Linked DNA regions of Callithrix jacchus. The protein of the gene in region 1 purifies or fractionates together with the protein of each later gene. This does not show direct contact. Links are inferred from orthologs where the notes say so. Each region holds a gene or a part of one and is shown in the gene's direction. Other genes may lie near its edges.

Region 1 (3,652 bases):
CCTCAGAAAACGCTTGCTGAGAGTGTAGTGGTTCTTGGCCCTTTAGAATCATGACACCCACATACCCTGATGAGATGGAGACCTCTCCTTCTACCATCGGGTCTAAAAGGAAATTATATCAGCTCATGTAACTCATAGGCCAGCCTGAAGTTTGAAAACTTTGTTAATGTGTATAGCATAGCACATCTAAGTACTTTCAGTTTAAGCTGAATCAGAATCATTTTTTTTTTTGGAGATGGAGTCTCACTCTGTTGCCCAGGCTGGAGTGCAGTGGTGCTCACTGCAACCTCCGCCTCCTGGGTTCAAGTGATTCTCCTGCCTCAGCCTCCCTAGTAGCTGGGATTATAGGTGTGCACCACCACAACTGGCTAATTATTGTATTTTTAGTAGAGACAGGATTTCACTGTGTTGGCCAGGCTAATCTTGAACTCCTCACCTCAGATGATCCACCCACCTCGGCCTCCCAAAGTGCTGGGATTACAGGCCAGTATTTTTGAGACTGTAAAGAAATGTAACTCCACAATAATTGGTAAGCCCTGTTTGCAGTTAATGCCATGAGGCTTTCGTTGCCACATTATTGTATTGGTCCCATTTTTCTTTTGAGTTGTTATGATTTGAACTCTTAATTTTTATAGTTTTTAAGCTTTTTTAAAGTTAAGAATTAAAGTAATATTTTCTTTAATTTTTAAAAAATTTGTTAAGACCAGAACTTGTCCGTCCAGCTACGACTTTATATCAGCATAACCTGACTGGGATTCTAGAAACTGCGGTCAGAGCCACCAACGCACAGTTTGACAGTCCTGAGATCCTGCGAAGGCTGGACGTGCGGCTGCTGGAGGTACTACTGTGGCCCCGTGTGTTGGGAACGCTGCCCCGGCCCTGAGGACCCCTGGGCTGGGGTGTCGTAGCGAGTGCTTTCCATGTTACTTCAGGCACAGCTGGTCATTATGTTTCTGGAAACTGGGCAGCCTGAGTAGGAATTCCACTCTCCCTTGTTACTGCATGGCCAGCTCCCCCTCTACTCCACTCTGTGCCTCTGTGCGCTCATCTTACAGCAGGGAGCCTTGCAGGGCTGCTGGGCTTAAGTTGGAGAAAATGCAGGACACCCTTGCCCCGTGCTTGGTAGCACATTGCAGATGCTTAGAAAATAGTGCTTCCTTCTCACAGTGAATCTGACAGGAGCACAAGACATGGTATATAATGATATTTATCAGAAAATTGATGTTTTTAGTTTCAGTTTGGTAGGATGTGACTTTTCTTAAGGGTATGGATATTTTAAACATAAACCCACTATTTGCTTAGTTGTGATGAAAGATCATTAGCAAAACCTATTGGTTTTCTTAAAATGTCCAAAGAGTCATGTTGGAATAGCTAAGGATTTGGAACATACTTAGTTCCAGTGGGCTTTTGTCATAAGCAAATGACAATGAATTTTAAACACGTATCCACAGTATTCATTCAGAAATACCTTGCTTGTTGCCAGATGTTTGCAGAGCACCTACTGTGTGTTCATTGCTGTCTAATTGGTAAGGTTATAGACGTTAACAAGAAGATGCACTCGGAACTGTTGAGCAATTTGTAACAATCGGGCGCTCTTTTACTGCTGTTTCTTTGAGTCAACACGTCCTCAGTTATGTGTCTGCAGTTACGTGTTTGTTTCTGTTAGGTCTCTCCAGGCGACACCGGGTGGGATGTCTTCAGCCTCGATTATCATGTGGATGGACCAATTGCAACTGTAAGATGATCCTTTTATAGTATTTGCAGCTGTTAGGATTGCTAAACATTTTGTTTGAAATCGGCTTTCTTCTCTGGGGACTTCTAATTAAAGTGATCACTCGACATCTAAGACATACTCATTGAATGAATACTTAAGCCAAAATTGTGTGTGTATTTTAAATGATTATTAATGAGTACTGAACTGCTCTATTATTTTAAAAATTCTTAAAAATATTATTTGTTTAGGAGAATTGCCTGAACCCAGGAGGCGGAGGTTGTGGTGAGCTGAGATCGTGCCATTGCACTCCAGCCTGGGTAACGAGCCAAACTCCGTCTCAAAAAAAACAAAAAATATCATTTGTTCTATCATAGGTTTCAGCAAGTCCTTAATAAATAGATTGTTCATTTCATTCCATTATTCTTAGACTGTAGCAACTAATTTAGGATAATTTGAAAGGAGCTATAAAGTGTATTTTAGGGGAATTACACTTTCCTTCAGAGAGAAAGTTTGATGTTTGTATTCATTTAAACTGATGATGAAGTAGCTGTACTTTGTTCATAGTGCTTCAACCTGCATAACACTTACCAAATCATAAAAGGCTGACCAGGGACGCCGTCTTTTTCCATGTCTGCACTCAAAATACCTCTTTTCAGTGCTCATTTTTAAAGTATTCAGACTCCAGTACATTTCATTGACCAAGATACCCCTTTAAACTTACTTCAGTTATCTTTGTATCTGAAATACTGAAGAAGGACATTGCATTTCTTTGAGGTTTTGGGGAAAGTATTTTGTTGAGAAGGAATATAGTTGGGCTCTAAAATTTCTTCTTGGTTGCTCTGGAAGAGCCTGCTTCGCACCTTTCCCCACGTCTCAGGTTCACATCACGCTGCTGAAATCATCGCGTCAGGGCACGCTCACCCTGTTTTCTTTTGGGATTAAGAAACCTGCCACTGGTGAGCCTGTCTCCTACAGTAAGGTGGGAGCCGCTGGTGCGATTTTTTTTTTTTTTTTTTTGAGACGGAGTTTTCGCTCTTGTTACCCAGGCTGGAGTGCAATGGCACGATCTCGGCTCACCGCAACCTCCGCCCCCTGGGTTCAGGCAATTCTCCTGCCTCAGCCTCCTGAATAGCTGGGATTACAGGCACGCGCCACCATGCCCAGCTAATTTTTTGTAATTTTTAGTAGAGACGGGGTTTCACCATGTTGACCAGGATGGTCTCGATCTGTTGACCTCGTGATCCACCCGCCTCGGCCTCCCAAAGTGCTGGGATTGATTTTTTTTAACATGTAAGTTCCGGGTGTGTAGCCTTTATGGATCAAAGCTACTATATTTTAAGTGCATAGCCTCACTTCAGATTTAATTTCTCATCATATTCAAATCCCCGTTTTCTCCTTTGACTTATGTCTTAAACAATTTAAAATGGTTGTAATGCAAGAAGTAGTGTGATATTTTAACAAATTATTTATTTATTTTTGACAGAGTCTCACTGTGTCGCCAAGTCTGGAGTGCGGTGGTGCGATCTTGGCTCACTGCAACCTCTCCTGGCTGGGTCCAAGTGATTCTCCTGCCTCAGCCTCCCAAGTAGCTGGGATTACAGGCATGAGCCACCATGCCTGGCTAATTTTAAAATTTTTGGTAGAGATGGAGTTTCTTTCAAACTGTTGGCAAGGCTGGTCTCGAAAGTCCTAACCACCACCTGCCTCCCTCCCAAAGTGCTGGAATGACAGGCGTGAGCCACCATGCCTGGGCTTCACAAATTATTTAAATTAGTAACTTTCACATCTCCTGCCTTATTAATTTGCGTACATTACGTGTTATTTTCATAGCATAAGAGATACCATAGTACAGATAATTGCGTAGATTATTTCACAAGATCTGAGAGCCTTGCCAAATAGGTGAACTGAACATTGCCTAGATAATTAATTATTTCGTAG
Region 2 (3,752 bases), on another chromosome or scaffold:
AAGCCTGGGCTTGACCACAGATTAGGCCAGCTGGACCCAGGGGTGCAGGTGGGAGCATCTCTGCTTCTCTCTGCTCTGCCCCATGGGCCCCAGCAGCCTGGGCCCACATCCTCTCACTCGGAAGCCAGCTCTCACTGGGCTGGCTGGGCTCACAGCTCCACCCTGGAACCATCCATGTGGCCTGGAGGGCCCCTCAGGGCTCAGACAGCCAGACCTGGGGTGGTTGAAGGCCAAGAGCCGGGTGCCCTCTGGGAACCACACAGCCAGGAGTGGGAAGGGGTGCTCAGAGTAGGGAAAAGGAATGGGTATGAGTGGACAGAACCATTATGTCACCCCAGAGAGGCTCTGTCCCCCGCCCCGCTGAGGGGGAGACAGGAGAGCAGCCACAGGTCCAGCAGTGTGAACACAGGGTCTAGGGTCAGGTGCTGGAGCGGGGTCCAGCTCCTCCACTGGCCAGCTGCACACCTGGCTCTCAGGGCCTCCCTCCCCTGGGACAGGGGACAGTACCGCGCAGCGTTGCAGGGAACAGGCCCTCTGTGTGGTGAGCATGCCAAGAGCTCGGAGAGGGTGGATTTGCACATGAGCAACCACCTGTGCAGTGTCCACCCAGCCAGCAATGTGCTGGACCCAGGAAAGGACTCAGAGCGCTCTGTCACCCACAGGAACAAACTGTCTGGGCCCACAGCCTCTGCTTCTTCCCCTCCTGTCCCCCAAACGCCAGCCCCTGGCCGGCCTGGAGGCGTTTCCAACTGACTGTGGCTGTCAGTCTTCTTTCGGGCCTTGCTCCAGCCAGACTCCCGCCTTGGGCCTCTGCCATCCCGGCACTGACACCCACATGCAGAGCTGAGACAAAAGAGAGGGGCCCCCGGGAGTGTCGTCAGCAGCCAATCCCAGAAGGCATCTATGTCAGATGGTTTCTGGAAATCGAAACTTGACTGTTTCCTGAAGCATTTCCTGGGATCAGCCTGACCACGCTCCATACTGGGAGAGGCTTCTGGGTCGAAGGACCAGTCTGCAGAGGGCTCCTGGAGCTGGAAGCAAGGAGGCTCCAGCACAGCCATCACAGCCGCTCCAGCCAGGTAAGCTCCTGCCTCCAGCTCTCAGGTGGGCACCCCCGCCTCTCTCTCTTTTTTTTTTTTTTGAGACAGGGTCTCACTTTTTTACCCAGGTTGGAATGCAGTGGGGCGATCTCAGCTCACTGCAGCCTCTGTCTCCCAGGTTCAAGAGATTCTCCTGCCTCAGCCTCCCGAGTAGCTGGAATTATAGATGCCTGCCACCATGCCTGGCTAAATTTTGTATTTTTAGTAGACACAGGGTTTCACTATGTTGGCCAGGCTGGTCTTGAACCCCTGACCTTATGATCTGCCCGCCTCGACCTCCCAAAGTGCTGGGATTACAAGTGTGAGCCACCGTGCCCAGCCAGGGCACCCCTCTCTCTACACAGGCAAATGGGGGTCACTCCTCCCTGTTTGCACATAGGCCTGGAGCTATCCTTGCTGCTCCCAGGCCCATCTCTGTACAGTTGGGCAGATTGCTTACTACACAAGGATACCAGCCAAAGGGGCAAGTGGGCTGGAAATCAGCTTGGCCCTCTCAGGTCTGTGCATTGAGCCTAGGCCTGCACCCACCCCAACGAAGGGTACCTTTTTTTCAATTCACATGAAGGCACCCTAGGGGTCAACACAGATAGCCGGTCTCAACTTTCCATATGAAAGAATCAGGGAAATATACCCAGCCACTGCCACCCAAAGGGCAGCAATGGTGCCTGCCTGGTGCTTCATTGTCCACTTTTTTTTTTTTTTGAGACAGAGTCTTGCTCTGTCACCCAAGCTGGAGTACAGTGGTATGATCTCAGGTCACTGCAACCTCTGCCTTCTAGGTTTAAGCGATTCTCTTGCCTCAGCCTCCTGAGTAGCTGGGACTACAGGTTCACACCACCGTGCCCAGCTATTTTTTTTTTTTTTTTTTTTTGGTATTTTTATTAGAGATGGGGTTTTACCATGTTGGCCAGGCTGGTCTCGAACTCCTGACCTGAAATGATCCACCCACCTCAGCCTCCCAGAGTGCTGGGATTACAGCATGAGCCATCGCACCTGGCCAGTTGGCCATTTTTCCAAGGCCCTCGCCCATGGCCTCCTCCCGCTCCACCCTCCCCCATGCCTGTGCGGCAGCCTTGCCCGGCACCTGGTTTTCTGAGATGGGCTCACTCACTTCCAGTCACCAATTCTTGCTGTCCTTACTGCCAGGGGCCACCCCCAGCCCACCCCTTCATCTAGCCAAGTCTAACACATCTTTCCAGGACCATGCTGCAGACCAGGTGAGGAGCCCCTGTGGGGGCAACCACAGCGTCCATCACACTTACCAAGACCACAGTGGGCTCTGCAGGAGAGGTACCCTGCCTGCCACACAGCCCAGGTCGGGCTGAAGGGTGGATGGGCAGGCCAGTCCCCCGGCATCGGGCCACCGGGCTCCGGTGCCTCACTCCACCGCTTCCATCCACAGCAGGATCCATGCGTCCAGGCAAGGCCATGGTCCCTCTGAGGCTCTTCTGGATGTGGCTGCTGGTTGCAGGGACCCAAGGTGAGCTGAGTCCCTGGGAAATGCCAAAAGCAAAAGTCTGTGAGGCTGCTGCACCCTGGGTCTGTGCACAATGCCCAAAAGAGGTTGTGCCTGGGGTCTGAGGCCCGGTGGTTAGCCGAATCTTCTCTCTTCCGGTATCCTGAGTGATCATGGCTTGGAGGTTCCAGGGGCTCACCTGGGCTCAGGTGAGCTGCAGGTTATAGAGAGGACACCAGGGAATTCTCCATTCCATCCAGAGGGAACCAGAGGAGCTGATCAAAGCAGCAGTCACGGGGTGTTGTGGGGTCCATGGCCTTGGATGCAGGTCAAGCTTCCAGAGGGTCCTGGCTGCCTTTCCTCATATTCTTTACCCTGTGAGCCCCTGGAGACTCATGCTCATCCTGGGGGCCCCACAGAAGCCAGACGTGCCCCCAACTGAATTCAGCTCCTACCAGGCTCTGCCAGCTCCTGTAGGGGCGAATGTCAGTGGGCAGAGTCCCAGAAGGTCATGTGTGGGGTAGGAATCCCATTCTCTGCCCTGGAAGTATTCTGCCTGTGCTCCCAGGGGTCCCTAGGCCTGCTGTCCCCACTAGGCCAGCACCCGCAAACTGCAGACACCCTCAGGAGGGGTTAGCATGGAGCCGCCTTTCCCTCGGGGTCCTGCCACCTCCACTCCCAGTGCTGGAGAACCCAGGGCTTCTCTGCCCCGTTCTGTCTATGGAGTGAAGGGCTGAGACCCCTAAAACAAGGAACGGCATGTTTAGCCTCCATGTAGGGGGTCTGTATGTATCTTCCACTCCCCCTCACAGAGGTGCCCCTCACGGAGAGGCAGGGGGACCTTGAAGCACTGGAAAACAAGCTCAGCAGGGGAGTCCCAGGACAGCGTGGGGGCCCTAGAGGTTGGCGCGTGGGGGGGGCGCTGCAGGCTCCAGCCTCACCCTTGTTGGTCTCTCCCTGCAGCCGTGAACGATGGTGACATGCGGCTGGCTGATGGGGCCACTGCCAATGAGGGTCGTGTGGAGATCTTCTACAGAGGCCAGTGGGGCACTGTGTGTGACAGCCTGTGGGATCTGACTGATGCCAGCGTCGTCTGCCGGGCCCTGGGCTTTGAGAACGCCACGCAGGCTCTGGGCAGAGCTGCCTTTGGGCAAGGTAGGACCTGCTGTCCCTGTCCTCTGGGGCTGAGACCCACA
Region 3 (3,652 bases), on another chromosome or scaffold:
TCCATTTTAAGCTCTCAGTTGAATTTAAAATATTATGATTTTATAGGTTATCAGGTTTGTTTTCATTCTTAGAGTTGAGAAATTACACTTTTGCACCAACCTAATACATCCTAAGTAGAAATCTGTGTGTCTGTTTCTGTTGTCCATTAAGAAGATGTAAGTTTCTTTCAGTAAGCAGATCCCTGTGATCCTGTAGTTACTAGGTTTCAGGTTTTCTTAGCACTAGTTTGTTTCTGATTTGCCTTTACTCCTAGTGTGTAGTCTTTGCTCTTCTAGGACATGAGTTGAATGTCTGGAGTATTCTTTTTATCTTAGTGGGTCCTAAACTTTAACTTCTATTTTGCCAGCATCACAAGACTTCCAGATTACTTTCTCTGCTCTTGAGTTGCTTGTTTTATGGTTGCTTTTTGGCATCTAACCCAGGGCGAGCATTGCTTAGAAATCAACAGACATCTCGAGGGGAAATTGCGGTTTCAGGCTTGCTTTTCTGCAGGCCTCCCCTCTTCAAGATCTTGACTCTTACAGCCTTGGCTACCTTGGTAGTCCCAAACTCTTAATACTCCCTACCTAGTGAGACTATCTTAACCTCCAGACCACTGCTTCAGCTCAGTTTCTTCTCCACACTGTGGAATCAGCACATACTCTAGAAGGAAAACAGAGGTAAATGTAGTGCTTACCTAGTAGTCTTTCCTTCTTTGCAAGACCATGGCTCTTGACGTCCTGGCTACCTTGGTGGTTCCCTGATACAGTGTTTTTGTTTTTAATGCAGTTTTTACTATCACTGAAAGTAGAAGAGGAAAATTTTAAGAAAGCCTTGCTGTTACAACAGAAAAACAATAAGATACCTGGGAATAAATCTACCAAAGTAGTGAAGATTTTTGTAGAAAAACATTTTTAAACTTTTTGTTCAAAAGAATTAACATTTAAATAAATGGAGAGATTTTATAAAGATATCAGTTCACCTAAGTAGTTCGGTAGATTGAATGCAATTCCAATTAAAATCCCAGCTGGGATTTGGAAGAAGATGTTGAGGTGATTCCAAAATATGTATGGAAGAAAAAAAAATCTAGGAATAACCAAGACACTTCAGAGAAGAATAAGGTTGAAGGGGACTTGTCAGATGAATGTGCTTAATCATTAAAGTGTAATTAAGATATATAGCATGGCACAGGGAGGACATATTGGCCAGAGGAATCATATAAGCTGGAAAGAAACCTATGCATATATGGAAATGATAGAGAGGTAGCACTGCAGATTTGTGTGCAAAATATGAAATAATAAATTGTGTTGTGACATTGGATTTTTCGTATAAAGTTGACATAAGAGTTTATAACTTCATGGTAGGAAATCATTTAAAGCAAAATAATGCACTACCTATCAAAGTACATTGGTAAAGTTGACTGCCATGATTAGGTTAGGATATTTGAGCACATTAATAACAACTGTTCATCACAGTATATCACAGAGTGAAGGGATAAGAAGATATCTGCAGTTCTCATATAAAAAGGGATCAGATTATGTAAATAATGCTTATAAATGAATAAGAAAAGCATTTCAAGGAAGAGGAATGGTATATGAAAACAAGAAATATACTCAGCCTCATAATCAGAGAACTAAAAATGCAATGAGATACCATTTCCCATTCAATGGGAAAATATGAGAAATCTGGTAATACTAAGTCTTGATGATGATATAGAGCAAGAAGAACTCTGTTATACTGGTGATGAACATGTCCATTGATACTACCTTTGAAAAACAATTTGCATGACTTTGTAAAAGGGAGTATACTCTTGAGTGTATGTCATCGATGGACATTGGCCCATGTGAGTTGGGAGATAATACATGATTGATTATGACATTGTAATAATAAAAACTTTAAAACAATCAAAATTTTAACAGGAATATGGATACACCAATACAAACCAGTGAATTACAGATATATGGAACATGAATCTTCAAAACAATATTGAATTCTTCCTTAAAAATAAGCTATATGTTACCCTTTTTTGTAAAGCTTAAATGCTCAAGAACAATGAAAACATTGACTACAGATTATATGTTATACAAGGATATTAAAAAAGAACTTTTTTTGTCCAACAAAATTCAGGAGGGTAATGACTTCTTTCTTGGGCTTACCACCAAGAGTTAAGTGAGAATCAGGAACACACAGGAAGCTTCTATGATTTGGTGACATTCTAGTTCATAAGTTGAATGGTGGGTGACTGAGTGTTTTTTTATCATTATATTTCATAATTTTTATATGTTCTTTTGTAGGAATGAATTAATTGCATTTTATTGAGTCAGCCATGCTATAACCACCCAAATTGCCACTTTCTACTGAAAGTACATTTTTTCAATAGCTAAACTGATAATAAAATGCTCTTTCTAACCTAGTGAATTTTTCGTATTTCATTGTAATATAAGTTTGTGTCTTAATGACAATTTCTATATGAAAGAATATAGTATGGGGGAATTCAGTAGGTAGACAGCCTGAGTTTACATCCTACCTTCATCATTTACTGGTTGTGTGATTTTGGACAAGTTATAACTGCTCTGTGGCTCAGTTATTTCTTCGGTAAAATAGAGGTAATAATTGCACCTACTTGTGAAGATGTTTTAAATGAGTTCTCACATTTAAAGTAAAACAGTACCTAGCACATAGTAAATAAATGCTCAGTGCATTGGTATTTTTATATTATAATAATTATTAATATTCAGTAATTTGGCAAATGAAAAAGTTTTTTGAGTTTCTTGAATGAATTAGAATTGGTTAAACTATTGTAATTCTAAAATGTATTTTACATTCTTCCTAGAGAAGCATGCCATAGGGACATTGTGAATTTGCAAGTGGAGATGATTAAACAGTTTCATATGCAACTGGTATGTATGACGAATGTTATTTTAAATGAAAGTAGAGTTGTGTGAATTTTAAAAAATCCATTAAAGGTGATCTATTTTAGTTGTTTTATTTAATTTTTAAAATAAATAGGGTGTTTTAGACATTAAATAAGTAAAATAGATTTTCACTGGTCACCTCCTTTTGACCTATGAGATAGTTAAAGCTTCTTTTTCCCATGGCTTTCTTCCTGATGAGTAAGCAAAAAGCATCTTAAATGTGCAAATATAAATTTTCCAAATATATTAATTTTACCAGTGATCTTCCATTTATATTAACAAAGTAGTAAGAGTTAAGTACAAGAAATATCATTCACTTAGTTAATTGAACATGAGCAAAATGATAGCTGAAAGTATGTAAAACATAGACTGCCAAATAAATGTGAAATATCAGTAATTTAAAAGGCATTTTACCCTTTTTCTAGAATGAAATGCATTCTTTGCTGGAAAGATACTCAGTGAATGAAGGTTTAGTGGCTGAAATTGAAAGACTACGAGAAGAAAACAAAAGACTACGGGCCCACTTTTGAAATTTCAGTGAATACCTTAATGTTCTGTAATTTGGGAAGTTTCTGGGAACACAGAACTGCATAGAATCAGTATTGTTTTCATGGCCTCCAGGGAAGAGATTTTATTTTCAGGTAAAAGTAAAAGGGTGATGGGATTTTACACCAACCACTGTTTTCACTTTAAAAATATGTATATTTTTATAATAAAAATTGTACAGTATGTTATCTACCTAATAGGAAAGTCAACA

Evidence for each region.
Region 2: the proteins of TUBGCP3 (region 1) and LGALS3BP purify together in Homo sapiens (affinity purification with mass spectrometry; 4 studies listed by BioGRID and IntAct, counting the BioPlex papers as one, with this or other methods). This does not show direct contact. The link is inferred for Callithrix jacchus from reciprocal best matches to the Homo sapiens genes TUBGCP3 and LGALS3BP.
Region 3: the proteins of TUBGCP3 (region 1) and NEDD1 purify together in Homo sapiens (affinity purification with mass spectrometry; 3 studies listed by BioGRID and IntAct, with this or other methods). This does not show direct contact. The link is inferred for Callithrix jacchus from reciprocal best matches to the Homo sapiens genes TUBGCP3 and NEDD1.

Annotation. Positions count from the first base shown.
Region 1 is NC_133502.1:27,997,011-28,000,662, reverse strand, and holds part of TUBGCP3 (gamma-tubulin complex component 3), read left to right. Parts: intron 1-702; coding exon 703-838; intron 839-1,666; coding exon 1,667-1,735; intron 1,736-3,652. UniProt on the Homo sapiens protein: Component of the gamma-tubulin ring complex (gTuRC) which mediates microtubule nucleation.
Region 2 is NC_133506.1:134,725,523-134,729,274, reverse strand, and holds the start of LGALS3BP (galectin-3-binding protein), read left to right. Parts: upstream 1-978; 5' UTR 979-1,079; intron 1,080-2,502; exon of another isoform or gene 2,503-2,505; 5' UTR 2,506-2,510; coding exon 2,511-2,580; intron 2,581-3,519; coding exon 3,520-3,711; intron 3,712-3,752.
Region 3 is NC_133510.1:100,025,282-100,028,933, forward strand, and holds part of NEDD1 (protein NEDD1), read left to right. Parts: intron 1-2,813; coding exon 2,814-2,880; intron 2,881-3,320; coding exon 3,321-3,425; 3' UTR 3,426-3,652. UniProt on the Homo sapiens protein: Required for mitosis progression. Promotes the nucleation of microtubules from the spindle.